Coturnix japonica: one gene and its partners. The protein of the gene in region 4 interacts with the protein of the main gene of each other region in a pairwise test. Links are inferred from orthologs where the notes say so. Each region holds a gene or a part of one and is shown on either strand. Other genes may lie near its edges. The genes, in order: CDK6, RBL2, CRABP2 and CCND3.

Region 1 (7,501 bases), on a different chromosome or scaffold from region 4:
AAACATGATAAATGTTTTGTTTAAAATTATTCTGTGCTGTTTAGTCACTTCTGCTCTATGGAGAACATGGAAGAACATTCTTCCGCCCCCAGTGCCAGGCATTAGGAACCAGTTTTGGCACCAGGCATTCCTCAGGATTTTAAAGAAGGGAACCTAGGCCCACCACGCCAACACTGGGCTGCAGGAGCTCTGCTGGCCCTGCACTGAGGCTCAACAGCAAAACTATGCAGCTACATCTCTACTAAGCAAGTATCAAGGATTCTCCTTCCCATACTGCTCTTCACATTCAGCACCTCTTCATGCAGATGGCACAGCCCTGGGCTGAGCTCCTTACAGTGCTCAGGGCCGGCCCAAGTCTACCTATTGAGTCCAGCACAGCATGACACAGCTTGTGGCTTCTGCTGCTGCCGTCAGCTGATGCACTGTACCATCACCACGCCTGCCCAGCAGCACAGCTCAAACACAGCTCAACTCTTGGTAGCTTGTCTGAATTTTGACTCATAGAATGACTGTCAGTTTGTACCGAACAACTCATGGACCACACGCCTTTACTCAGAGCTGACGGATCTGATGTGATATTTGCATTGCTCACTCATTGCTCTCAGGCCTGTAACATTCAGAAAATAGACATTCCCTTTACAAAATGTCCGGCTTCAAATATTAGTGTGGCTGTCCCAGTGCTCTGAACACACCACACCTCCTACTCCAGTACTCACACAATGCCTTTGCCATTATTTGTATTTACTAATCTGGCCATGATTTAAGTATTTCCAAATAATCTTTCATTACACGGCTACAATTTCAACCACTCCAAAGTGCTACTTACATCTGCTCTACTGATTAGAAGTGTGCACAACAGAGGTTACTTTTATTTCTCTTGTTTTAGAAGAGATGGTATTTGAAATGGCTCTCACGTTCTGATCTCTGAATTAGAATGCACTTCAAAATATCTTTTACTTCATATGGAAAGATCTCGGTGATAAAATCAAGTTCACAAGCATTCTTTAATCATTCCCAAAGAAGGCTTACAATTTTAAACATACACAAATATCTAAACTTGGGCATCTAAATCCGCATGTCATCTCTGACATTACTAGGCTGGATCTGAGAGATTTTAAGAACTCTCGATTATCTGTATTGCCAAGAAAGGCCTTTGGGTGCACCATTCACCTGATCCATTGACCAAAGACATAACGCTGCCCACACTAACATACCTCCATCTTTGTGGTTTTTGCAACCAAGCAATGTGGCATTACCGGGTGCCTGTCAGAATAATGGTTACTATATTGAGCAAATGGTGGATCTTCCTGATCAGCACTGGCAAAGTGTGAGCTGCAGCCTGCATCCCATCACTTGGATATAGCAAGGAGACCTACAACATCCTATTGCGTCCCACTCCATGAGTAGTACTTCATTAAACATTCTTTGCGTGTTCAGTTTGCTCAGAAATGAGACTGTTCAATCACATTGCCTTGAGATGAAAGAAAACTAACTTATTTCTAGCTATTGGCTTTTGTATTTTAATTATTCCCTTTCCTACCTTTCCTGCTCCACTTACTACCAAAAAAGCCCTCATCTCAGCCCCTAAGACAAACATGGTGACCACAGCTACAAGCCAACCTGACAGCTACCTCTGTCACCACAGCGTCTCTATTCCTCCAGGACCCAGAGAGGCTTGGCACTAATGAAGTATGGAACAACTCCCTTTTACTATGCAATACGTGAGTAAAATAATACAAATAGCAGGAAATATTCCTACTGATGCAGTGTCATCTGCAAGATGATACGCCCTAGGATCTCAAAGCAAAGCTCACTTTTTCAAGTCTATTCAAATAAAGATGCTTGCTAGCCAGTCTCTGCATGGGGAACCTGCCCCAGAACAGAGCTCATTCACTCAGAGCTTACACAACCAACACAACAGCAAGGAAACCTGGAGCCACTGCCACCATGCTGGAAGCAAGGCCTGCATTCATCCTGCTGCACTCTCGGTAGCACCACCAGCACCTCCTGGGGTATTCACCAACAAACAGTACTCACAGGGCCTGTAAAGTTCAGACTTAGGCATCTCCTCCTCTTTAACACAATGATCTGCAAACATTAATAAAAGCATCTAAAGAAGTGGAATGCACATCCCACTAATGCTACAACCATGATCTCTGGGTAATGAATGAGACGTTAAGAATCAGCTGCAGCTGTCAGAGCTAATACCTATGACAAAGGGAGCCCTTGGGTTTTCATTCCCTCTCACGCCTGAGGAAATGGTGTGTATGGGGCTCCTTGCCATCCACCCCAGCACTGCTGTCACACGCCTATGCCTCTGGAGATGGGTGTTTGTGTGTGTGGGAGGCAGCACGGGGATGAGGTGAGCTCTGGCACAGCCCCGCGGCCTGTCGAAACCTCAAACCACACTCCATGTGCATAAAGGAGCTCTCGCTCTTCCCACAAAGCCCATCGGTGAGCCGGCCCTCCACGCGCCCAAACCTGCTTTCCCAGCACATGCAGCACAGAGCAGGCCCCGCTGCCTCACCTGACCACGTTGGGGTGCTCGAAGGTCTCCAGGTGCCTGAGGACGGCCACCTCCCGGATGGTGGACAGCGGCATGCCCTCCTCGCTGGTCTGCACCCGCACCCGCTTCAGCGCCACGAAGCGGCCGCCATTCTTCAGGTCACGGGCCTTGAACACCTTCCCGTAGGCCCCCTCGCCGATCTCAGCCACGCACTCATACTGCTGGTCGGCCAGGTTGGTGCCGTCCTTGTCCATGCTGCCGCCACTCCGCTTCCTCCTGGGATCCAGAGCAGCTCAGGACAGCTCTGCTCTCTGCTCGCTTCTGAAGCCGGCACCTCACTGCGGCTCAGCCACACGCCGCCACCTCTGCCTGAGGGGCAGCAGGAACCCCTCGGCCTCCTGCTCCGCTGCACCGGCCCCACTGAGCCTCCGCTGGCGGTCACCAGAAACGATCATACAGTCTTTGGGAGCATGGTCTGTGCGAAGGCAGATAGATCTGGAGGAGAGACCAAGCAAGAGGGAGCAGTCAGAACATGGTGCCATTGTGCTTTACTTCACTTTGTTACTCTGCGCGGCTTAAAACTGAGAAAATGATGCTAGCACAGCAGAGAGCTGCACGCACAAAGGAAGGTGCAAACCAGAGGCTGCCAGGCAGCGTCACTGCACAGCTGACACAACCTGGGTCACTGCTGCAATGTGCCCAGGCTGCAGCACGGCCAGAGCGACCACATGGTTGGGCTTCCCCCAAGCAATGGGGGTTTTCTGAGAGATGGGCAGAGCGTGACTCTGAGGGACGTGGGTGGTATCCTCCATTAGACGACAGAATCTCTACACTCATGGGACAGTTAAGTATGGCAGGCTCCTCAGGTTCCTTGGTTCCTTGGGCATCAATCACATGGAGCCCCTGAAGCCCATCCCATGCTGTACAGCCAGTACTCACGTGCAAATGGCAGCACTGAGAGGCTCCAGCTTGGAGCTACTCTACCCTGTGCTGTGCATTGCAAGAATACAAGAACGCACGTTCCTGCCTCGTGGAGAACTGCGCGTATATATTCACACATACATGTACCGTAAGATACCAGCATGTTTCTGAGCACCGTTTGCTGGAGCACAGACGCACGGCCCTCAGCAGCCTAATGATCCACTACTAGGACCCGAGCGTGGCTCCCAGCTGACTGCAGCGGGACGGGCGCCGGGTGCGAGCCTCGCTCCGGAGCAGCGGCTGCCCTGCACGGCGTGGGGCTGCGCCACTTCCCCTGCGCCCCGATTCACCCCCACCGCCACGGCACGGCCACGAGCAAACGCCGCTCACAGCGGCACGGCAGCCCTTCCTTTCCTCCTCGCCCATTCATAACCAACGCACCCACACGGTGACCGGGGGCCGCATCCCCCTACACGCCGCTCTAGCAGGAATAGTCCCTGCAGCTCGGCGGGGATCCCCTGACGGCACCTACGGCCGCGGCTCGCGGCTCCCAGCCCCGCCGTTGAAGCGCCCCGAGGCGGCCCCGCTCCCCGTCCCCGCTCCCGTCCCTTTCCCCCCCGCCGTGTGGACACCTGCCCGCGCCCCGCACTCAGCCCCGCGCCCCCGGCCCTGCGGAATGGCGCCCCCCGGCGGCGGGCGGCGCGTCGCGCGTGTGCGTGGCGGCGTCCCGGCGTCCCGGCGTTCCGGCGGGCCTGGCTCCTCGCGGCCGCAGCGCCGCCACCGCCGGCCGCCTTCCCCCGGGGCGTTGTGGAGCCGGGCCCCCCGCTCGACACCGCTCGGCCCCGCACGCGGCGGGGGCACGCTGCGATCCGCCGTCCGCCCGGGGCCTCGCAGGGCCCTCCCCTCCCGCCGCCCCCCGCACGCCGCGCTGACCCCGCTCCGGCCGCGCGTGGGCTCGGGGCCGCGGCCGCACACACACGGGTTCCCCGCGTTACCTGGTGCGCGCCGCGGCCGCCCGATCCGCCGGCGGCTCCCCAAATAACCCGCAGTCCTTTGGGGGGGGGGGGGGTTGGGAGGGAGGGGGTGAGTCCTCCCTAAAACAAACCTCCCATTGAGCGAGGCGGGGTGGAGAGCCGGCCGGGGTCTGCCCCTTCACATGGCGATGTCTCCGGCAGGTCCCGGCCGCCCGGGCCACACAGGTAGCTGCTCCGCCGCCCGGCCGCCCCCGGCCCGCATCCCCTCGGCGCGGGAGGCAGCTCCCGCTCGGCCCCGGCCCGCGCCTCCCACCCTCCCCCCCCCGACCCCCCCTTTCCCCGCCGCCCGGGGAAAAGGAAAATCGCGGCCCCCGGGGAGCAACGACGCCGCCGCAGCAGCAGCAGCAGCAGCAGCGAGCCGCCCGCAGCCCCGCGGCCGCAGCCCGCCCCGGAGCGGCCCCGCTGCCCGCCCGCCCCGCTCCGCTCCGCCGGCCCCGCTCAGCCCCGCTCAGCCCCGGCGGTGGCGGCAGCGCTCGCTGCTTTTCTGTTGTGTTTTTTTTTTTTTCCTCCCCTCTCCCGAAGCCTTTTTCCCTTTCTCTCCCCGCTTTCCCACGCTGGCTGAATGTGACTTGACCCCGTTTCAAAAAAGTTTGACATAGTGCTTCAACATTTCCGCATTCCTCCCCGACTACAAAGGCTGCAGCCGCCTCCTTCTGCTTTCTGTCTCTGCTCTCTGTCTTCACACTCAATGAAATCCTTCATCTGCCCCTGCCAAGCCGCCCGCATACCGCAAGGGTCGCGGCGAGCGGCGCGGCTCGGCGCGGCCCGATCGCCCCGGGGGGTCCCGGCGCTGTGCGGTGCGGGGCGGCAGCGCGACATGCGGGGAGCTGGAAATCACCGCGCCGGGCGATGGGCTTTTTCCTCCCCGGGAAATAACCTCCTTTTTTTTTCCCCTCTCCCCAAAAAATCACTTTGTTTTTTCCCTCACCCCCCCCTCCCCCCCTATTTTTTTTCCCCCTCATAATTCCCCCCCCACCCCCACCCCACTTTTTTTCCCTTCTTTTTTTCCCTCTCCCCCCTTTTCTATTCACACAGCACTCACGCACTTTGGGGAACCACCAAGAAACTCTCGTTTTGCTGAAGTAATCCCCCCAGCTGAAGTAACCCCCTCACCTCCCCGTGTTCCTTATGGCACCTGCAAATCGTACTAAAATGCACCGCAAGAAAAATACGGCAACGCTTCACCCATGTGCTCCATCTCCACGTGGGGAGCCTCATTGGCAGCTCTGTGCCTTCCAACACACGGCACGGCCCAGGGGTGGCTCCGGGGGCAGCCCTTGTCAGGGCTGAACTGGGAGAAAGTGGATCCAGGTCTCCTTCAAATGGGAAATGTGATTTAACGAAGTGAGTTTATAACTCAGAAAGTGTGTGCTGTATGTATGGCATCATACGCTGCGTGATTTCCAGAAACTAAATATTTATATATAGATAGATCTAATACTGTACAAACAAATAGAATTCCTATCAGAAAGAAGCATGTAATTACTCCATCTGGATTTGCAGCGCTACCAACCATCTATACAACCCTATAGCTTGAACAAAGCTTGTGTTCCAAGCTCCAGAACTCAGCACAGCTCCATGTGCCCTTCCCAGTTCCTGGGTGCCTGGGTGAGAAGTGGGGCAGCTCTGCTTTCTCCTGGGGCCAGGAGAGCTGGTCCCACTGAGCAGGCAGGGAGTGCCATGCGGATGTCTGCTGCTGACCATGCGTGCCTTGCAAGAGTTTCATTCGTGCTCACGGCATGTTTTATTTAAAAGCACAGAACTGCAATGACTTCTGATGTGTGTGATTTGTCAGAAGGATGCTGAAGTTCACCTCCCTGTATCAGGGGCTGTACCTGCGGTGGTCCTCCTCTTTAGAAGCATCTGCTGTGTGGGGAAGCCGATAGAGATTGCTGTGAGATGACAGCGCTCCTTCAGTCCAACCACGTGGATTCCCAACACAGAGGAGTGGGACACTCAGCACGGTGTGATGTGATACTAAGATTTCTTCTCAGAATGCTGCCCCTGTTCTTCCCCTTTCCTCCCACCTGAAGGTCAATAATACACCTCTGTGTCCCCAAGGTTTAAAAGAGCCACAGAAAACCCTCAGACTGACCTCAAACCATTTTCTCAGTCTTCTTTACGTGAGACTTGGGGGATTTTGGAAGGAATTTCCAAACACAACTAAATACCCACATGAAACCAAGTGGATACTGCAAAGAATTTGTCAGAGAGGCTGAAATTACTGAAACAAACTGTCAGGATTCTTAGAAAATATCATCGAATGGCCTGGGTTGGAAAGGACCGCAATGATCATTGAGTTCCAACCCCCAGCTATCAAACCTAATGCACTGGTTTTAAAGCTTGAAGTCCAGAGGGTGTTGGAAATAATATGTATTTAGAGACATTATAAATCACCAAAACAATGGGCTTTGAATAAAAGGCTTTCATAGCAACATTTTAAACATGTTTTGCGCTTTGCTTTCCTAAAAGTAACGCAGCTTTTATCGCTATTGGAATGAGTGAGCGCACGTCTTGCATTGTGATGGCAAAGGAGGTTTTTCCATAGAAAAATGAATAAATCTCTAACTTATAACGGAGGATATCTTCTTTTTTCTCAATTTGCACACACATTGAGAAATTGGTGTTTTAAGGAGCTCATTAAATGGCATGAAATGCAGGCAGGATAACATGAGTCACTCATTCTAAAGTTACTTCAACCTAAAGGGCTTTGTTTTGCATTGGGGAAAATATTGGGAACGTTTATCTCCAAAGAAAGAAAGGAGATCTCTCTCTTCATCTCTATTTTCTTTTGGAAAATATGGGTGGTTTTTTTTACTTTCTTTGTTCAATTCCAGTGTTTTTAACACTGGAAAAAAGAGAAACAACTTCTACCGAACTGCATTTAAACCAGGAAAATCCAAACGTGTTACCTGGATTGGAATTAAACTGTGATTAAACCACATGGAAACAAAGAAGAGATCGTGTTATTTGCTGTGTATAATCCATGGGCATAAAAGCGGGGTCTGTGAAGTTGCTGGAAACAGCGAATGATGTGGCG
Region 2 (6,789 bases), on a different chromosome or scaffold from region 4:
GCAGAACAGCTGCAGCAGCAGCTCAGGATCCCTGGTCCCTAGTTCAAGATAGGTGACAATTCATTAGTCACTTGGACAAACTCCTGCATTCCACTGATTAACAGCAGTCTGATTTTTAGATGCCCAAGCCAGCTGTAAAGTACTTTCAAGACAAAAAGAGGCAAAGCTAAGAATGAAGTTAGTTCACATTTTAGCATTCAGGTAAAGAGATTATTTAATACAAGTTGAGTACGCAGGGCTTGATCAACATTTCTAGCTATTAAACACTTTACCTTATAAAAGTGATAAACTGGAATGTCGAATATTTCTGTGATGAAGGGAAAGTTTCCAGGCTGCTTGTATGTGAAGGTGACGATCTCAAGGCAGCACGCCAGCAGGGAGCGATGGAACACGTCTTGCTCCAGTACAGCCTGCAAGAGAGTTGTCTGTTTTAATGCTTCATCTACAGTGTAACAACACAACAGGATCATGCTTTCTATTCTGCCTCCACAGCAACATTACCCAGCTTTTAAACATGGGATTTCCCTTTGTACCTGATGGAACAGAATCCAAATGAAGACATCTTTACTCTTTATAAATTTCATATACCATTTTTGTTCTCAAACAAACAATTTCTTGTAGTTTTCCTTCCATTCAGGTACACCTTCCAACTACCTGGGAGATTTACTCATTTAAAATAGCAGTATGTAATAAAATATTATAAATATATATCAATATTTCCTTTTTTGTAGATCCAACTTGAAACATAAGGTGCAATTGGAGTAGTTGTCCTTACAGATAAGTCAGCGTCTCCCAGTCTCTTCCTCTCTTGCTCAATGATTGCCTCCAAAACCTTGTAGTAGAGCACCTCAGCACGACGGAAATGCTTGCTGGCCACATCTGTAAACACAAATAATATTGTGAACTGCAGTAAAGGTGTCATCATTCATCTTAAACTACAGTGATAAAGCAGCAGCTTATTTGCTTGTGTGGACTCCTGTGCAGCTGTGACAAAAAGGCACCCTTGAGAGAAGAACAATTCTGAGTGCTTTTCTTTCCACCCTCCTGTAAAACATCATAGAAAAATCATCAAGTCCCTATGATTTATGCCAAGTATGATTATGGAAGTTTATATAGGGTTGAAAGTTGCCCTACTGTAAGACTAGCAGGCAAAGAGAGAAGAAATAGAAAAGACTCTTGTGCTAAAGCACAGCCTCTACATAAGGCAGAGTTTACTTGGAAGAGATCAGTGTTTTTAAATACATGTGAATTCCTGTTTATGTAAGTAAAATGTTTCCCACCTTTGGACAAATTACTGAACTCTTCTTCAGTCTGCATGCTCTGACAATACACTTCATACATTTCTTTGACTCTGTTTGCAATAGACTGTGAGGGATCTCTGGAACACGCCCTGAAAATACAAGCTAGTTTAAGTGTTCTATTTCTGCTAAGACAAAACACAAATACACACACACCAAAAAAACCTACAATAGGATTAAAGCATGAAGCTGTAAATTATCTTTGATAGACAGCAATGCAAACACACCCACACGTGCCTTGCTGGAAATGCACTGTGAGACATCCACAGCAAATTCTACTGCAGTGAGCGTCAACTCGTCATAAGAGTTTAATACTAAACAACGTATTCCAATGTGAATTAATAAGAAAAGGCTTGAAAAAATTGCAATGGCAGTTTGCTGTTAGTGAAGCTCCAAATTTGGGTGTTGTTATCACTGTCGATCTCTCAAGGATAAACGTGCAGAAATAAAGACAAGAGCCTTTCTGAAGCTGAATGTCCCTCTGGCTCCTATTTCACTCCAGGCTTCCAACACTTTACCTTTTAAGTTACGCTATTTCACATTTGTTATTATAGTTTCTAACTTTTGTAGCTAAGCATCAAAGTTACCTGAAGATTTGCTCCAGGTTTTCACTGGGGGCATTTTTCAGCCCCGCCAGCATGGTGTGAAGGCGGCTCAAGCTGTACGTTGCTATGGAAATGGGTGTCACATAGGGGTTGCTCTCCTTAATGTACTTGCGGCCAGTGAGGGGGGTCGACATCCGAAGCGATTTAGACTAGAAAGAAAACAAAGCATCTCTCTGTACATTATTACAGCACTCAGACCTTGTAAGAGACTTAAAGTGTCAGGTGCTAGAATTGTTTCTTAGCTGGTTACAATATATATCTATCTATGAAAGGAGAGCTGGAATCAAACAACCCAAACCAGTTCTCTCCCAGTAACAACCATCAGCATCAGGTCTATCTGTGGCTTGGATGCCTGTGTCAAATACTAACACAGAAGTATCTGAGCAGTGACAAAATGACCTCACGCTGAAACGCCACAATTGGACAACTCCTTCTCCACAGGAACATCAAAGGACTGTGCCAGACTCACTCTGTCAAAGTGCTGCTGTAAATTATGCTTCACTTGTACTCGCTCAGCTGTTTCCATTCCTGAGGGTGTATTTAAGCACCGTGTGAGAGTTCCAATTTCTTCATCTGCATCCTCCCCGAGGAATATTCGCTCATCGAGGTTTCCTACTGACAAGACATACTCCTCATAGGCCTTGTTGATGGCTTTGCTACAGGGGAAAAGAGAAAAAAAGCCCTTTAGTTTAGACAGCGCTTTCACTACCTGCTTTCTGACTGAACACACTTCTTGGCCTATCTGAAGGCCTCAGAACTTGCTTTTTCTTCCTAACGCTTTACATCGTATAGAAAAGACCATGGAAACATGAACAAGAGCAGACATCGAGCAATGCTATGCTGAAAAGGCCTCAACCAGCAAAGAGCTGAAATGCCTTTTAATATAATATATAAATAGTAATATATCTATAAATTAACTAGCTAGTATTAGTGATAAGATACAGGTAATAACCCAAAGGGACACAAATGCAGACCAAAGCACAAGCTGACTCACAAGCTGTCTCCAAAGTTTCCAGGATCCAGAAATCCAGTCAGATTTTCATCTTTTCCTTTTAAGAGCTGAAAGAGCAAAGAACGGAGACACGGCAGTCGTTAAAGTTCTGAAGACAACAAGTAGAGAAGCATTTTCTGCATCCTGAATGCACCCACCAACCTTCTTGTCAAAAAGTTTCCGAATGTACGGCTTCCAAAAATGCTCCTTGATGCCTTTTGCTTCTAAAACTAATCCGTAATGTAATGAACACAGCTTTTCAATGATGCAGGGGGGGTCAGATGATGTTTTATAATCCTTACTGTGAAAGTCTTCAGGCAGACCTATAGAGAGACAAAGGAAGTACTGTTTGATTCCGAATAGTCATACCTTAGTGAACTCACATTCTTTGCTATGATGCCCATGTAGCCTGAAATTAAAACAGAAAACTATTTTGTCCCCTCGAAAGAAAAGCTGTACACCCTCAACTGGATAATCTTATCAGAACTGCCTTTCAAGTGACAAACCCAAAGAGCTCAGATATTCAGTGATAAATAGCATCGGTTCTAATAGACAAATGATGAAGCACTTATGAGCTGTAATATTTATTCAAATAAGTTCAGTATTATTTATTCAGTAAATACAATACAATACAACACAGTACTGAAAATGAACCATACCATTCTGCCTACCGCCCACCTTCACATCCATTTCAGCAGCCTCAGAGGTTTGTGCAGATTTTAGATAAAGACTTTTTTTTTCCCAACATACCTTTAAAATTGGGATTCAGAAGTTCTTTGTGGTTGGGGCACTGGAGAGCATTTCCATACACCAGATCCAAAGCACATAACAAGAGATGATAGGAATTGACCAAGTCATCACTGATCATGGGAAAATTACCTTCAAAACAAGAAAGATAAATGAGATTAATTAAAAGCAGCATAGACTTGAAATTATTTCACAAAACAGAACTATCAAGATTTGCATTTCCAATCAACAGTGGAGTATTTTAAGCACAGATTTTGGTGACCGGATTGTCAATATCTGGATCGAAACACAGGGAGTAAAACAGACACAGCTAAAACAAAGCACATATCATTGCGTTTGTTCACCTTTATGTTCAGTTTTCTGATCAGAGTCTATAAATAAGTTCAGCAGATGAGAGCAGCTCTATGGCCACAAGGGTCACTACCTTCCTTTGCAGCATACACCAAGTGCAGGAACAAGACTGACGCTTTCTGACTTGTGAAACCAAACACAAGATGCTGAGGTTTGCAGAAATATCACGGCGACAAGCCTCAACTTGCTGCTGATGTGTGGTTGCCACGCTAAGGATTACTGCCGGCCCTCAAAACACAGCAAACAAATGGGGAATATTCAATTCCTCCAGTGGTGCACATTCACTTCACATTGTTGTACTGCCACACTTCATAAGGTACCACTCGTCACTTATTAATTTTGCAGTTCATAAGTACTGTAATTGTTTGTCTCATAAAATTAATGGGCTGTTATCAACACTGTGTTCCAGTCCACAGAGTTAATCTGTACGTCTGAAACTGTTTGCCAGTCAACACGTACTTAATGATGACCTGCTTACTCAAACATACCAACCAACACTCAGCAGGAACAAGACCTGCCCAGACCCTCTGTGCCTGTTCAGGAGCAACTTGCAGCCTATGAAGCAGCTTCTACACAGGACACAGTTGTTTGGTACAGCATCACACCTTTCTTCACATGCCTGCAAAGATCCAGGGATATTGCCAGTGACTTTTCCCAAATGAAGCCTGCTGGCAGCGCTCTGCTTGGTGGTGAATAGAAAGGCTCAGCTGTACAGGACAGAGCTACTGCCAGAAAGTCCATAGTGAGACAACGTACTGCGTCCTATCCTCAGAAACAACCAGGGAGATACTGCAGGAAGCCTACACTGACTGACCCTGCAATCCCAAGCAGTCCCACAAGCTCTCCTTTCTCATGAAGTTCTTATAATAATAAAACAACTCCCTGGAAATTACAGAAGGACCAGAATACGACCTAACTTACGTTCAAAGGACTCCCAGTGAACCCATCCTGACCGTACCCGAATCAATTCCTACTGTAGATGATGCTGTACAACTGAACAACTTAAGCCAAAAATGCTGGGGAGCTTCACTGCCCCTCATACAAAAGGATTTACTTCCATTCCCTTCTGTCTTTTTCTCCAATCAGTCATTAAAGAAGAAAAATGACTGAAATCCTCTGCTATTCATATCAGCTTTAAGGGTGCTCTTACAATAAAGGCAATACTTGCACGGCAATATACCGGCTCCTCCCTGCTTTGTTTCCAGGGAAGCCTGTTAACAGAGCATTTCACATGTATGATCCAAGGGAATCTGAGTCTTCCAGCCAGGCACTTAGGTGAACAAATCCAAGTGCTACCTGTGAGAGTGCCTCGAAAGTCCCCTCAGCTACAGCCTCATGACACAGTTCTGTGTTACAGAACAGAATCCATTATGTATTATCACTGTTATTTGAAACTTATAAGGAAATTAAAATCATTTTGTTCCTAGGGAACATAAAGCAATAATTTACATTAATTACAACTATCAAAATATGAATTCACTACAACTCTGAGCTGATTTTCTTTTAGTATTACAGCCTAAATCGCCAAAATACAGCAAACCCTGGAGCAGTATTTCAGATAAAGCTACCAGGCTGGCAGGGCACAGTGCTCACCTCCGACAGCTGGGAAAACAAACAGCTGCAGGAATTCAGGTGCATTCGTTCAGACTGCTCCAAGGAGGCACTTTCTTTGAAGGGCCTGCAGCTGGCTCACGGTTACAGACTGATACAGACTAACAAGAAGGGGTTTGTGGTATTCAGCCCCTTTCAGATCTCTTACCTTTCGCATGAACAAACAGCACCCAACAGAACTGGAAAACTTCAGTCACTGTGCACGGCTGTCGCCTTTGGGGGGAAAACACAAGAAGCTCAATGACTTACAATGGACAGACATCCCATCGTTCTCAAAGAGCTGCTTTGCCACAGAGCAGCTAAAATCTGAACTGTATCCCTCCCCCTCAAAAAATAACAAAAGTAAGAACTGGTCTGAAATAATGCAGTAGCTGCTCAGAGCTTCACAGCAGACACAGCTGAAGCCTCAGCCAGCAGCGATTCAAACATCACCAACAAAGCAGCACACATGGGATGCCTTCTGAAGTACTGTGAGCAATGTAAGCACATGTGCACGTCCTGCAAGGCACACGTCACACAGCACACTGGGTTTTATAAGCTGTTTGCTCACAGACCTCACCTACACACTTTGCTGAAGTGTTTTGTGTTTCTGTATAAAATTTTACATACTATGGAGAATTTTGCACTACAGCTGTTTACCAGCACCAGGTTCCTCCACTAGTCCTAACCATGAGGCCCTCCTGTCCATCAGGAGTCCTGTACCCACCCTACCACATACTGAAGTTGAGAATTCTTTCATTCAGGCCAAATTCACTCACAGTGAGGTGTTGTTCTCAATTTCTGCAGTAGTTTTATCAGCCTGCACTCATTTCTTTGGTTACTCCACCAGGTTATGTAAGGAATGGTGTTAAATGTTAAAAGCTTAGACATTTCACATAAGAATTTGGAATGGATAATTCTGACTTAACCTTCAAACTGAGTTCCTGCTCTGCTATGCAAACAGACTAGCAGGGCTCACTCAACTAACTGCAGAACTGTACATGTGCTGTAATGAAGGCCAACAGACCAACTCTGGTACCATAAAGAACCACTAAGGAAGTAAGTTAAAATGCAGATAGAACAACCAAGCAGCTTCTTGTAACAGCAACAGCCGAACATCAGTCTGGACATAACAGAACTGTACCTCTGTTTCCTTCCTCTCTGCTGACGGGGTTGATCTTCCTGAGGGTATCTGAAAATGTCCTGA
Region 3 (7,554 bases), on a different chromosome or scaffold from region 4:
ATAACCGAGGTTTGCTGCTTTCCTGTTGGCTTTTCCCCATATAATCAGATTGCCAAGGGCAGGATGCTCATCAGGAGGCACTCAACACCAACGCCGCCTTCTAAAATGGAGAGAGCCAAGTGCTCCCTATACAACAACCCCACACCCACCTTATAGCCGAGGAACCCCCCCTATCTGCCCCCTATCCCCTCCCTTCTCCATCTCATCGCCCACCCTGGGGCCATTAACACAGTATGGGGGCACCATGAGCATCTCCCCATGGCATCAATTGGGATTACCCCACCAGCCCTACACCCCATAGGGGCTCCGGGTGCCCCGTGCTTCCCACGCAGGGATGTGGCACGATGCAGAGCCCGGCACCGCCTCTGCCCCCGGCCCTTTGCGCAACATTGGGGTTGTGGCATAGAGAGGGAACAACGCACGCAAACGGGGCCGGGAGGGATGGGGACAGCGGTGGGGGTCGGAGCTTTATTAGAAACAGGAGAGGGGAAAGGGGGGGTGGGGTTGGGGGGGGGGTGAGGAGACGTTCCCAGGGGTCGGAGCTTCGAGGCACCGCCGAACTGGAGCTGTTGAGTGTTTCCATTCCATTCAACTATTCACAAATAAATACTGGGGAGGGAGGGAGAGCAAGAAGAGCTGCAGGGCTGCAGGGCAGGGTGAGGGTGCAGCACCGGCTGTGAGGTCAAAAACAGTTATAAACCCCCCCCAAAACAAACTTCGAACCCAAAGGATGGGGTGGTCCCCGACACCCTGTTGCTCAGTGCACCCCCATAGTCACAGGGATGGGGGGGGACACGAGGCAGCTACAGGGGGGCAGGGGGACACAGGGCCATGGGAAAAGTGTGGGGTGGGGGGGGGGGGGAATGGAGCCGTTGTGGGGTGATGGTTGGTGGTGTCACTCCGGATGTACACTCTGGTGCAGACAACATCATCGGCTGTCATGGTCTGCAATAAGGAGCAACAGTCATTGCCCATTCCAGGAGCTTCCTCCCACCCCCCCATTTTACCCTCCTCTTTTCCCCCCCCCCCCCACTCACCAAGATGAGCTCCCCATCATTAGTCAGCTCCCTGGACCAGCCCGTCCGGGGTCCCTCACCCTTCAGCAGCCTCTGTTCACACACCATCTTGTTCTCACTTTCCCACTTGGCCAAGCTCTAAAGAGGGGAGACAGCAGAGAGAGCTGGGTTAGGGGGGGAGATGTGAAGCAGCCCCCAGCCCCACCAGGCGATACCATCCATCACCACCTAACAGATGGGGCCCATTTGTCCCCACAGCCAGCAGTTGCCAGGCTCATGTATCACCTGGGGGCAGGGGACACATTTACACAGATTCATGCTCACACGTGTGTGTGTTCACACACACATCACATCCATGCACAAAGGCTGGTGTATCTCAGCCCATAGCCCACCTTGCAGGGCCTCCCATCCACCGTTTGCTCCTCGAACTCCTCCCCGATCCTGAAGCTGATCTCAGTGGTGCGCACTGTGGTCGAGGTCTTGATGTAGAAGCTTTCACCATCCTGCTTGATTTCCACTGCTGGTTTCGAGGCTGCAGCCACCGCGATCTTTCGCAGCATCATATTAACTCCTGCAAGCAGGGGACTGGTGTCAGACTGACCCTTCCCCATATCCTGACTGCCTGGCCTGGTGTGTGACCCATAGAGGGGAGGTTAAGTGTCTCTTGGGACAGTGTTCCAGAGCTTTGCTGAGCCACAGATGCTGCTACTTTACTATGGAATTGGTTGCAGATGGGGATCACGAGGTCGTGCAAACACCCCCCCCCCTCTGCACTCAAGGCTTGATGCCATAAACCCCTGCAGAGAGAACAGCTCAGGGCAGGGGGCACGTGGCTGCCCCCCAACCCCCTCGCCATGACTTGGCAGTGACACAGTTTGGGAGGACCCCGAGCTCTGCAGACAGCACAACATGGAAATGGGGGGGTGGAAGGGTCTATGGGGGGGTTTAATGAACCCCCATCTGCACATCTGGGCCACATCTGGTGCTCGTTACCTTCAGTGTAGGGGGGGGGGGGAGAGTTGTGTGGGCTCCGGATGTGCCTGAGGGTGACTGGGAGGCACATGGGGTGACGGCGGGGACATGGTGCAGGGCTCCTGCCCCACATCTGGGGGCTGAAGGACTAGGGGGGGGGGGTCTCATACCCATCACTGTTCCCCAACAGCCCCCTCCCCTTCTTGTTAACCACAGTGCAGCTGCGGCTTTGTCCCCACTCCCCCAGGGGCTCATCCATCATGCCTTGAGCCCCAGGCTGTCACCCAGGCGGCCCCGCTCCCCAGGGAGCTGCTCTTTGGGGACATTGTTCCCATGGTGTGACCCTCAGGCAGCAGGTCGGCGCTTGGCCAGGACCCCGTTGCCCCCCTCCCCAATTCCATCCAGCTCCACGTAACCCCGGGGAAGGGGGGAGGGTCCCTGCAGACAGAGCAGAGCATCCCTGGAGGAACAAAACCTGCACCAGGAACAGATGCATCCATTTAGGGCTGCTCCCACCCTGATGCTAAATAACACCCCCTGTGTGGGCATGAAGTTAAAGTGCCCCCCCCCCAAAGGCAGTAGGAGCCATGGGGGTAGCACAGTGCTTCCAAAGGAGGGAGGAGGGGGTGTCACCCAGGGCTGAGGGGGAGCCCCATGTGCTGCGTGGGAAAGGCAAAGCCTGCTCTGAGCCCGGCAGATTGATTTTCCTGATGAGGTTTCCCTGCACCGCTTCACCGGGCGGTGATGGAGGGGGGAAAAGAGGGAGGAGGGGGCGAAGAGGGAATGAAATCCAAGAAAGTGATAATTATACTGAAGTATTTGTTACGTATCCCCTAACTTGGAAAATATTCGGCTCCAGCGACTCCTCGGCGGGTGGGGAGGGGTCAGGCAAAGGAGAGCAGTAGGGGGGCTCCAGCCTTGCCTAAAACCTTGAGACCCCCGTGGTGTCTCCATGCTTAGGACCTGCAGTGCTGAGGGGGGGATGGAGAGGGGGAGAAGTGAGGGACAAACTGAGCTCTGCAGGCTGGGGCTGGATTTGGGGGCACCACACTCCATCCCATTGGATGCAATTGGGGTGTGGGGTGCTGGGGGAGGGGGTTAGTGCAGGGAGAGCCTGAGGGTGTGCAGTGCAGAGTTATACCACTGTGGTGGGGAAACTGAGGCAGGCAGAAGGGAGCGAGGAGCTCAGGCTGCAGCTGAGGGGGGTGGGGGGATCCAAGCTGTGCCTCAGTTTCCCCAAGGGGAAAAAGAATGGGGTGGGCTGCGAGATGCAGGGGTAGGGAGCAGAGGGGCTGGGGAGCCCTGGGGGTTCTATATCCAATCCCCGACCCGCGATGCTGGAGGGTTTTGGGGGGCGATAGGAACCGGACTCCCCCCCTCTCCTCACCCATCCATAGGGGCTCGCACTCACCCAACGCCTTCAGCAGCTCTTCGAAGTTCTCGGAGCTTTTCATCTTCCAATTCCCGGAGAAATTGGGCATCGCGGCGAACCGAGGACACAGGGGAAGGGGTGATGGTGCTTGAGAGGAGCAGGTGGTGGAAACACACCGAGGGGCACCGGCACCTCCGCTCCGTTTGTTCCTCCGGTACCGGCACCGCCGCTCTCCCACCCCGCTGCAGCTCAATCGGGCTCCGGCCCCGCGCTGCCGTTTTATGGCCGGGCTCACCCGCTCCGCCCCCGCCCCGTCCCCGCTGCCGGAGGAGCCCCATGCTACTCTCACCTGTGGGGCCGAGCACCGGCACAGCCCGGGGGGGTGGGGAGGGAATTGAGGGTGGGGGGTGAGGAATACGGGCACCCCTCATTCATCCCCATATCTTCCATCGTTCCCCCAAAACTTCCATAATTCTCCAAAATCATCCATCAGCTCCAAAACTTGCAGCATCTCCCTAAAGTTCCAGAGCCTCTCTAAACTTCACACGTCCCCCCCAAAACTGCCCCCATCTCCCCTATTGAGGTCCCTCCCAAACAACCCGCATCTCCCTACATGTTGCCTACATCCCCCCTATAGCTTCATCCCCCTTTATAGCATCATCTCCCCACTCAACCCCAATCTGCCCCCCGAGCTTGCACCTCTCTCAAATCTACATCCCCCCTAAACTACCCACATCCCCCCCAAGCTTCCCACATCCCCCCCCCACTCCAAATCCCTATCACCCTCCTGCTGTCCATATCTCCCCAATACCTCTTGCATCACTTAATCTACCTCCATCCTCTCCACAGCCCCCCCAAGCCCCGCTCTATCCTGAGCCCCCGTGCCCAAAACAGAACCCACTGATCTGTGCTGGGCTGAGGGAAGTTTGCTTTGGCTGCAGGCCTGGGGGGGAAAGCAAGATTAACTGCTAATGTGAGATTAAAGCTCTGATAGATTGGATCTGCTTAGAGCACGATGAATCGTTTGCTGGGGTTTCTATCTGGTGAGATGCCCGAGGAAGGAGTTGTGTGGGGCACATTGTGCCTTGATGCCATCCCATTGTTGCACAATAAATGATGTTTGATCTATTGGCAGCCCTGAAAAGGAAGGAGACAAGATTTTGGGAGTGAAAATAGAGGGTGAATAGATTACTATGCTGTGCTGGACACCTTCAGTCATGTCCATGCTGCCACTATCCCCATTGTATGCAGGAGAGCAGACTGTCCCACAGCACATTTAGGGTGCTGAGGGCACCCATCAGCTGGATATCACAGCCCATATGAACCAACAGTAAAGCTGAGTTCATTGCTTACACATTTAGAAGTGCCTTCCAGCTCCCTCCTATCCCTGAAACCCCTTTTCCTATGAGTTACCTCCCCTCTTCCTGGCCCCGATTTCCTCGCCCCCAAATATCTGGGCTGTGATTTTTTGTGAGCCAAGCCCTGGCTTGCAGCATGCCTCTAATCCCCCGAAGAACAGGATTTGTAACAAAAGGGCTGACATAACCTTACCTACAGCGTTGCCGATGCTCCGTGCATTGGAATCATAGAGAAAGGAACAAACCTCACACTGCACCCACCCTTGCAACCCCCCAGGGCAGAGTTGGAGGGGGTCTAACAGGGGGTCACCTCCACCATCCCTTTCATCCCTGTGTAACAGGATCTATGTCCCCTCCGGCACACAGAGGGGATGAATGATGCTGAACGTTTTACCCCCATATTTGGAGAAAAGAGTGAAAAAAAAAATAAAGAAATGCCACATTTCCAGGAGAACCGGCTGCAGGGGAGCAAGGGTGGGGTGCAAGCAAAGCTGCAGACCCTCACAATGAGCCCTCAGGATGCAACAGGGTAGAACCCCCAGACAGCTCCACATCTGGAAGGAATTGCATGGGGAAGGGTGGGGATAAACCCTCTCTGTTCCCCCCATTCCTGGCCCATGAAGCTCTGGCTCTGGCTACAAACCCGCATGGGGCCACTCATCCCGGGATGGCTGTGTATGGAGATGGGGATTATGCTGGAGCCACGGAGCTCCCACATTCAGCTGCACAGCTCGATCAGCCACTGGAAACAGCTGGCACTGCAATACACCCAGCAAACCGCAGCCATCTGAACACCACTACAGCCCCCCCAGTGCCCCCAGCTGTATGGAGTGACCACAATGATAACCCTGAGCCCCTTGTAGGGTGCACAGCAGCAGCACAGCACCCATGGGACCCCATTGTGAGCCCCCCATCCCCAGGCTGTGACCCCCCAGGAGCTCCATTAAGCATGGGCTCACCCAGCACCATCTGCTGACAAGATGGGGCTGGACTGCCTGGTTCTCATTTCCAGACGTAAAATCTCTTTTTTTTTTCTTTAACGGTCGGCCATTTATAACCCAGATTGTAAACTCCCACCCCACTTTAATTGCTTCCAAACTCAGCCAGACACAAAGGCACCCGGCCTCTCCAGTTCCTCCTCACCTTCCTTTGTGCTCGGGGGCCACAACAGCTTTGTGATGGACACATGTTACATGAGGCACATGCTGCCTGATCCTGTGCCCCTCCACCACTGCATGGCTTGGGCATCCCTCATTGCCACAGTGGATAAAACCTCAGTGTTCATACACAAAATAAAGGGCTCCACTTAAAATTCCCCCCTCAGTCTTTGCTGTCTGGCCCTATCCTTTGCACTAGGGCCCCACTGTCCCCTCCTAATGACCCAGACATCCCCAAACCCAACAGATATTTAATGAGTGTCTCTCTCTCGGCCGCTCTCGTCACGCAGCCAAACATCTGGAGGTTGGGAAGTGCTTTATTCCGGCCACGATTGTCTCTCCCACCCCTTATCCCTGCCTGGGACATGCTGAGAGCTGAGCATAAAGGAATAAACACCCCCAAAAAACACTGGAAAATGTGACGTGCATTCAGAACCGTCGCGTCCAGTTACGCATTGAGATGCACCGGCCAGGCTGGCTGAGCTCCCCATGGTCTGCTCAGCACCGACACCATTCCGGCAGCGCCCACCAGCTGGAGCTGTAGTGATGGAGGAGGTGCACAGGGATAACAGGCTGGGCTGGGCATGTTGGTTTTGGCTGCCCCACTCTTCATGCAGGGAAGGGAGTGAGGGTTGAAGCTCTCTCCTGCTGCCATCCCAGCAGGACTCTGGGTGGGCAGAGCCCATGGCCAAGGGAATAGCAGCAGTAGGGGGCTCAAGGGTAAGATCCAGTTGGTTCCCAGCCCACTCTGTCCAGCAGAGAGGGACAGTGCCAGTGTGTTTTCATCTTACTGTTAAGAAGAAGAGAGCATAACCTAAATTAAGCCCAGCAGGACCCATTTTGTTCCCTAAGTTCCTCTGCTCCTCTAATCCCACGACAGGGCTCAGGTGCAGATGAGGGGTCCCCAGCTGGGGACAGCTCTGTCCATACAACCCAAAGTAAGGGGAGGAAGCCTGGGCTTTGCACGCTGGTCTCAGCAGTGCTGGAACTTTGCAGGGCTGGCTCATACCTGGGCATGAAGAAGTGAAAGAAAGATCAGTGCAAAGCAGCTGCTGACAGGTGGGAGGTGACATCTGACAGCAGTCACTCCATGCTCCAAGGGTCTGCTTGGAGCCCAGGAGAACAGAGCTCTGCTGCTCTGCATGAGGCATGGGTACCTCTCCATTGACTGTGCAGCCCTGACTGCAAAATGGGCTCACAAGAAACAAGATTTAAAGGTGGGGGAGCACCCTGTGCCTGGTCAACACACCTTGGGATTGACCTGTTGAAGCTGGTGCCTGCTCCTCTGCAAGCTCTTCCCCAGCCCCCTCCTGAACTGCTTTGATTTCAAACAACATCAAGATTTCATGCAGAGCCTTCAAGTTGGAGATGTGGGAAGTGCCTCCTGCTTCCCCTGTTGCTCCTTACGCAGCCATGCTTGGCAATTTGGAACACAGGGGGATAGACATGGTCGTTATATACCCCAAGGCTGCAGGCTGCACTGCTTCCTGTGCACTCGGGGCTAAGCACCTTCCCTAGGGCCCTGCAGCCGAAAGGAAGGGCTTGTTAATCATTTCTTTTTAATGGGCATTTTTGAACATAAACATTTCACTTCAAAGCAGCTCCACGGTGGGTTAACCAGAGCAGACCGAGATCTCAGGGCACATTCAAGAGCTCAGCAAACAAATACACGTCGGTGT
Region 4 (6,789 bases):
GGATGGAAATGAATGTTTGCACTAGATTTTCTATTTGCAGACGGGCTGTCATGGCCTCTCATTTCTGTAGCTGTGTCTCAGCTGCTGAGGGTGGGTGGCCGACAGCCACATCAGCAGCTCTTCCACCCTTCCTTTGAGTCAGCTCATACCAGAGCAGCTCCTGCTTTGCTAGTGTAAAATGGAACCTTATCAACCCAAGTGACAAAATCAAGCACGACTTCCTTTCTCTTGCAGGCAGGGCTGCTGCAGAGGAGCTGGGCTCTGCTCCTTGTGCAGCACTGCCAGATGTGTTTACACAGCCTTCTCATAGGCATGGCGCATGTGTGGGTGTTGCTGAGGGCAGAGCTTGATTTACAGGGTGACTGTCACTACATAATGAGGAGAGAAGCTGCTATGACTCGCTTCGAGTTGGAGCTTGCAGAGCTGCAGATGGAGTAAAACCATCTTTGCTCTCGACTCAGATCCCCCTCGATGAGGAGCCTGAGATTGTTTCGCTGTAGTAGGACCATAGTGAGAAGAGAATACACTGAGTGATGCTGCTTCCCTTTTCTTTCTTCATTAGGATGTAGCTTGTAGGGAAAACCCAGCTGCTGTGAGGTTTCCAGCCCAAGAGATGTGAGCCAACTGTGGGGAGCTCTTGCAGGGCAGGGACTGGGTATATTCCCATTGATGGGATGCTTTCTGAGTGATGTTGGCAGCTTGCAGCCCTTCCACAGGGAGGTGGGACTCCACAGGCAAGAGAAACAAAGGAAACATTTTCCACTATCTTCCTCTCTTTCATTAGGCAGAGACCGTTGCATTTAGGTGCAAAACAAAATGCCAGGAAAAGGATGTTTGCTACACAGAGTGGTGCTGCTGTCGCAAACGTGCCTCCCTATCTCTTGCAGCCTTTTGTTCAGCTTCTTCCACAGATAAAGTGATTCAGAGATTCTGCCCTGCTGCTCTGAGAGTGGGGAGTCCCAGGAGTGAGCAGGAGGGAAAGGAGGAGCAGGCTGGTGTGGCCAGAGGGCAGCTTCCCCCGTGAGCTGGTAGCAGCCCTTAGTGCCTGTCACTGTCAGCCAGCACTGAGTGCCAGCTAGGGCTCAGAATCAGCCTCTTGTAACGAGGCTTTCGAGAAGCTGAACCTTTTTATTAGCTGGAAGAGAGCTGCTTTTGTGCATTGCAGACAGGCACATGGCACTTCTCTTTTGTGACTCTTCTCATGTCACCTCGCTGTGTTGCTCAGTTGAGTTGGTGGCCATCTCCTATCTAAGCCTGATTTTTTCCCTGCAGAACCAGGCATCCTGAGTGCTCTGTGCTGTGGTCTTCAGGTTCTGGATCTTGTTGCTGCATTTCTTGCTTTCCCTCTGTTGATTTGGCTGAAGAATACAGCGAGCCTGGCAGGCTGGCTGTCCATATGGGAGGCAGTGAGTCTGTTCTAGCAAAGCAGTGCTTTCTGGTTGGAGAAGCACAAGCTGTGAAGCAGCAAATAGCACATTGGGCCTGGCGGGGGATTTGGAGCAGGTTGAGCAGTGCTGTTCATTTAAGCAACTCAAAACCAGTGTTGTTGTTTTGAGGGGAAAGTGAGTTAAGGGGGAAAAAAAGAAAAGAAGGAAATGGAGATCTGCCCTTATGAAAAAATCTCACTTCTTCAAATCCATCTGTTCTGGCAGAGCTGTGGTACTTCTATGGGCAGACTGACCTTGTAATCTTAGACTATTTGGACAAAGAACAGATAATGTGCTGGGCAGGACCGGGCCCTGAAATGGAGTTACCTGATAGGAATCCCAGCTCAGCTCTCCCAGCCCCAGCACAGAGCCGTGCTGTGGTGCTTTCCTTCCCCTGCATGTTTGCAGGGCTGCTGTATTCCCTGTGCTGTGACAACCAGATGGTCCCTGTTTGTCCCACACTGTGCTGCTCCTGGGAGCCTGGGTGGCTCCTTTCAGGAGTGGGGAGGGAGCACAGGACTGATGTGTGTGCTGCTGCTTGCTCCGCTGTTGTTACTGTTGCAGCAGCATTGCAAAGCAAAGGAGTGCCCAGAGGAATGTCTGCAAAGCAGGTGGTTAATCTGGCTGCACCTTGGGAAGAAGAAACCGGATTTGTTGCTTCCTCTGCTCATCTTTGCTCCAGCCTTCACAGCAGCACATGGCTGGATTTGTGCCATAGTCACAGGGCAGGGACGTTCCTCTCTTCCTCCCTGCCTAAAGGGCTGTGCTGCTTTACTGGCCCTTCCCCAGACTCTGTGTGTACCTGGCCATGAACTGTGAATCTCTTCCGGACTTAGCCCTAACGTCTGTCTGTCTTTCTGCAGGACTGGGAAATTCTGGTCTTGGAGAAGTTAAAGTGGGACCTGGTCTCAGTGATAGCAAACGATTTCTTGGCTCACATCCTCTATCACCTCGCGCTTCCTAAGGACAAGATGGAGCTGGTGAAGAAGCACGCACAGACCTTCATTGCCCTGTGTGCCACAGGTGGGTGCCTGTTCCTGCTGGGAACAGCTGCTGGGGAGCAGCCTTTAGTGCCTGCCTTCATTCATGCAGAAGAGCTTTTCTGCTCAGCAGCTTGTTCTCTGTCCCTGACAAAGTAGGAGAAGTGTCCCGGGGGCTCTTAGTGGGTGCCTGGGAGATGGCGGGAGGAGCAGAGCAGCTGTGCCACCCCTCTGCCTGTGGCAGGCCATGTGCTGGAGAGCACGGAGAGCAAAGGCAGCTGCACTGTGAGCCTGGGTTGGCCTTGTTCTGTCAGTGGAGCAAGGTCACCTTTGGCACTTCTTTTGGTGAGAGAGGCCCAGGGAAATAGCTTGGTGAAGCTTGCTGCTGTGATGCTCAGCCTGTTTTCCATTGCTTTGCTCCTGTTTCTCCCTGCTAAGCTGGAGACTCTGCTCTGCCCTCACTAGTTTCCCATGAAAATCAGTCCCAAGAACTTAAGAGCTTGCACACAGCAAGAAAGAAGTAACAAATAAGAAGCTAACAGTTCCTTTTTTTCTCTCATGTGTCCTCATCCTGGTCTTAGACTACACGTTTGCCATGTACCCCCCCTCCATGATCGCAACGGGCAGCATCAGCGCGGCAGTGCACGGCCTGAGCATCTCCGTGAATGGCTTTGGTGGGGAGGCAGTCACCGAGCTGCTGGCCGGCATCACTGGCACAGAGGTGGTGAGTGTCAGCTGGGCAGCAGCAGGGAGGTTTGGCTGTGGGATAAGGTGGAGGCCCTTCCCATTTCTTTAGCTTGGTTTGAATGGAGAGGGGAAATACCTGTCTGTAATGATTCTGGCCCTGGTTTGGTGAAGGCATAAAGGCCAGAGAGCATTTCTAGATGTGCCCATGGCTTCAGGCGGCTCCCGGCCCCCACGTGCCATCTGTGCGGAGAAGGTGAGCTCAGAGCCTTTGAAAAGCAGCACAAAAGGGAGCGTCTGTTCCCTGTGCAGACAGGTGTCGGTGGGATCGGGTTGACCAGGCAGGCTGGGGCACTGGGTGAAGCTGGGCTTGGCATCTGCTTGCCTCCATGGTGTCTGGTTGCAGGTACCCAGGCTGGGGGCATGCAGCGTTACGGGGTAGTGGGGAGCATCCACCTGCCCCTCTGCTGCCCTCTGAGTGGGGAAGGGGTGTCACCAGGCTCCCTGTGTGCTGCTCACTCTGGGTGCTCTGAAGCCGTAGGAAGCTCTTATCCTGCCTGGGCCCCTTTTGATCTTTTCTTCTGTCCCAGCACAAATCCCGGCAGCCGGTGTGGGATTGGTTTCAGTCCCCTGACAGCAGTTCTGGGACTTGGAACTGGTGCCTCTGGCGGATGGGAGGCTGTGACCTGGCTTTGTGCACAGGGAGGGGATGGGGCAGGAGGGTGTCTTGCTTTATTCGTGCAGCTTTTTATATGTTTTTGTTTGCAGGAGCCTTTTTAAAGAGTTAATCAGTGCAGCCAGCTGCTTTCAAGCTGCTGTGGTGAATGGGACAAGGGCTGAAACCTGCTGTGGGCTGGGGTTCGTGGAGGGAACAGGTGGGAAGCAGGGGGGACACTGCAGAGGGAGTGGAGCCAAAACGGTCAGGGACAGCTCAGCTGCCTTCCAGCCTCAGCCAGCCCCTGCCCAGACCCTGCAGCCAGAGGAAGCCCTGGGGATGTCCCTATCTGCAGACAGGCGGCAAGTGGGGGCAGCTCCATGACAGCACGCTGTGCCCTGCGCTGTCCCCTCTGCCTGTCTCTGGGCTGCAGCGTGTTGGGCTGCGCTTACTGGAAGCGGCGCAGGGCAGGGGTTGGTGGGCGTTGCTATTTCTGCTAGCCACATCCTCTGACAGTTTCTAAGAACCGGCAGTGGATTCCTGGTAAGAGATTTCGATGTGTGACAATATCCCCGAGCACACACAGCCCTGTGGTAGCCGACTCGGCTACGGCCCTGAGGTGCAAAATGCCACCTCGTGCTGCTTGGTGACAGCGTGTGGGAGCAGGGCCAGGCTGTGCCCTTCTGTGGTGTGGCTCGTGGTGGTCACAGCAGTGCTTTGGTGAGGTGGGGGAGTTCCCTCCTCTGGTCACATCGGGGTCTGGCTGTATGTAGGTGTGAGTTCTGGCTTCCAGTTGTGCTGTGATGTGCGTGCCATCAGGCTCCCAGTGGGGATGATCTGGTCCTATTTGGGTAGGGGAAAGAGCAGCAGTGGCTGCAGGGACACACAGTGAGATGCAGAGTTTGAAGAGACCGTGAGCCTGAGGGAGGCAGCTGAGTCCCCAGGCCTGTACTTGTGTGTGTATCTGTCCTGAGTGATGGTTGTGGCCAGCCCAGAGATGTTCTGCTCTGCCCCTGAGCTTGGTGGGGGTTGGCTGCAGTGCTGAGCTCACTGCTGCATTCAGTGGGGAGAGGACAACCAGAGCGTGGGACTTCTCCTGGGGAGGGGTGTAAATGACAGGCAAGTTGGAAATGTCTCCTGCAGGAAAAGGGCTTCTCTGTGCTTCGATGCCTGGGGGCCAGAGGTATAATCCAGCAGCCACTCAGAGCTGTTTTAAGGTCCTCACTTCTGAACAGCAGGACTGAAGCCTCTTGTCCCCCCCTTCTCCCACAGGACTGCCTGAAGGCTTGTCAGGAGCAGATTGAGGCCGCCCTAGCCGAGAGCCTGAAGCAGGCATCCCAAAGTCAACAGGAATATAGCACCACCAAGACTGCTGCTTACCCGGCCAGCCAGCCCACCAGCACCCCCACAGATGTCACGGACATCAACCTGTGACTGCCTGCCCCTGCCTGAGAGCTGCCCATCCCCACAACAGCAGGACCCAGCCCCGGGCACCCAGAGCTCACTGCGTCCCCCCAGCCCATCTGAGAGCCCCTGTGCCTGAAGCCTGCTTTGGGGATTCACTCTTCCTGCTGGCTGTGTGAGGACAGCTCCACACTCATCCTTCTCTCCTCCTCCAGCACCATGGGGGGAAGGGGAGGGGAGAGCCAGGGTGAGGGCTGTGGTGATGCAGTGGGGCTCACTGCTGCTTGGACTCTGCTCGCTGGCTGCTGGGGGTGTCAGGGGTGAGCTGGTCTTTCTGTTGGGGGGGGGGGTGTTGCAGAAGAGCTGGGGAGGGTCGCAGATTCCAAAAGGAAATGGTAAAATGTTTCTGTTTGCTTTCTTTGTTGCCTGGATGGCAGATGTCTGCTGTGCTCAGGTGTGTTTACTGCTGCAATGACTCCCAGCTCTGCATGGGCCACCAGTTGTGCACAGCCAGCTCTCACCTGGCTTACGTGACCAAAATATCCACGACCCCCTTGTTGAGCACAGGGCAGGTGCTCGTGGGTCCTGGGTCTGCGCTGCGATGGATGGCTGTGGCTGCAGGGTAGTGTGACTGCTTCTGCTTGGAGAGACGTGTGTGCCTTGTTTCTTGTTGCCATTAGGTCTGGGATTTGCGGGTTCTTGGCTTTGCTTGGGAGAAGTTCTCCCTTTTTTGCATGGATGGCAGAGAAGTGCTCATCCTGGGGACATCCCTGGGGAGACGCGTGGGCGCAGCGTGACACTGCAGCGCTGACCCATGCAAAGTGCTTTGGCTTTCTGCTGCCCCACTGAGGCTGCTTAATTTATTGTTAAGTGCTATGAAAAGGGGAGGGAGGAAGGCTGCAGCTCCGTGCGGTGGGGCCTGGATGCTGCTCTTCTCTCCTTCCTAAAGTGCCTTTATCCTCTGTCCCCTTCCTTCGCTCCCTGGGCAATGGGAGACTCTCACTTGAAGCTGGTTGGCTGCAGGTAGCTCAGATGTCAGTTTAGATTTAGAGAAAAAAGAAAAAAAGAAAAAAAATCACTGAATGTGCTGCTATGGTCTGAAATGCATCTTCACTCCTCCAAGGCAGGGATCACATCGTGTCGGGGGGGCTGTTCTGCATCAGTACCCGAATGGCTCGAGTTGTGTCCTCACAGGGTAGAAAACTCGCTGCGCACTTGAGCTGAAAAGTGATGGCAAAGTGACAAAGTGATGATGGCATTTTGTTGTTCTTGTTGATCCTGTCTGTTCATTTTACAGAAAAAAAGGAAAAAAAAAAAAAAAAGTGTTTTTTAAAGAAAAAAAAAAACCATTCTATAATGCTGCTTTCCTAAGAGAGAACCAATACATTGTAGACTCATATTAACCAGGAATAGCCAGAGAGCCGCTGCTGGGGGTGTCCCTGCACACAGAGCAGCTGCTGAACTGCTCCTGGGGGGGAACCTGCTCTGGGTGCCACCAGAAACAAGTTTATCAGGTGGAAAAAGCTGGGGCTGCTGTGCTCTCACCGCCGATGAATTGCGAGGAGCGTCTGTACAAACAGATTTTTTTATATATATATATATGAGTGAGTTTTAATTTAAGAGTAATCTGTTGTGGTGT

Evidence for each region.
Region 1: the proteins of CCND3 (region 4) and CDK6 interact in binary tests that used the Homo sapiens proteins (3 or more experiments, as listed by UniProt). The link is inferred for Coturnix japonica from reciprocal best matches to the Homo sapiens genes CCND3 and CDK6.
Region 2: the proteins of CCND3 (region 4) and RBL2 interact in a two-hybrid assay, tested with the Homo sapiens proteins (2 studies listed by BioGRID). The link is inferred for Coturnix japonica from reciprocal best matches to the Homo sapiens genes CCND3 and RBL2.
Region 3: the proteins of CCND3 (region 4) and CRABP2 interact in binary tests that used the Homo sapiens proteins (3 or more experiments, as listed by UniProt). The link is inferred for Coturnix japonica from reciprocal best matches to the Homo sapiens genes CCND3 and CRABP2.

The regions. Positions count from the first base shown.
Region 1 is NC_029517.1:20,817,794-20,825,294, forward strand, and holds the start of CDK6 (cyclin-dependent kinase 6), read right to left. Parts: upstream 4,648-7,501; 5' UTR 4,533-4,647; exon of another isoform or gene 4,423-4,532; intron 3,980-4,422; exon of another isoform or gene 3,869-3,979; intron 3,002-3,868; 5' UTR 2,761-3,001; coding exon 2,528-2,760; intron 1-2,527. UniProt on the Homo sapiens protein: Serine/threonine-protein kinase involved in the control of the cell cycle and differentiation; promotes G1/S transition. Phosphorylates pRB/RB1 and NPM1.
Region 2 is NC_029526.1:4,017,574-4,024,362, forward strand, and holds part of RBL2 (retinoblastoma-like protein 2), read right to left. Parts: coding exon 6,727-6,789; intron 5,817-6,726; coding exon 5,752-5,816; intron 3,774-5,751; coding exon 3,645-3,773; intron 3,218-3,644; coding exon 3,057-3,217; intron 2,963-3,056; coding exon 2,898-2,962; intron 2,560-2,897; coding exon 2,373-2,559; intron 2,053-2,372; coding exon 1,886-2,052; intron 1,391-1,885; coding exon 1,281-1,390; intron 880-1,280; coding exon 776-879; intron 411-775; coding exon 273-410; intron 1-272. UniProt on the Homo sapiens protein: Key regulator of entry into cell division. Directly involved in heterochromatin formation by maintaining overall chromatin structure and, in particular, that of constitutive heterochromatin by stabilizing histone methylation.
Region 3 is NC_029540.1:635,953-643,506, forward strand, and holds CRABP2 (cellular retinoic acid-binding protein 2), read right to left. Parts: upstream 3,906-7,554; 5' UTR 3,470-3,905; coding exon 3,400-3,469; intron 1,588-3,399; coding exon 1,409-1,587; intron 1,155-1,408; coding exon 1,038-1,154; intron 946-1,037; coding exon 775-945; 3' UTR 713-774; downstream 1-712. UniProt on the Homo sapiens protein: Transports retinoic acid to the nucleus. Regulates the access of retinoic acid to the nuclear retinoic acid receptors.
Region 4 is NC_029541.1:4,740,218-4,747,006, reverse strand, and holds part of CCND3 (G1/S-specific cyclin-D3), read left to right. Parts: intron 1-2,290; coding exon 2,291-2,450; intron 2,451-2,988; coding exon 2,989-3,131; intron 3,132-5,018; coding exon 5,019-5,180; 3' UTR 5,181-6,789. UniProt on the Homo sapiens protein: Regulatory component of the cyclin D3-CDK4 (DC) complex that phosphorylates and inhibits members of the retinoblastoma (RB) protein family including RB1 and regulates the cell-cycle during G(1)/S transition.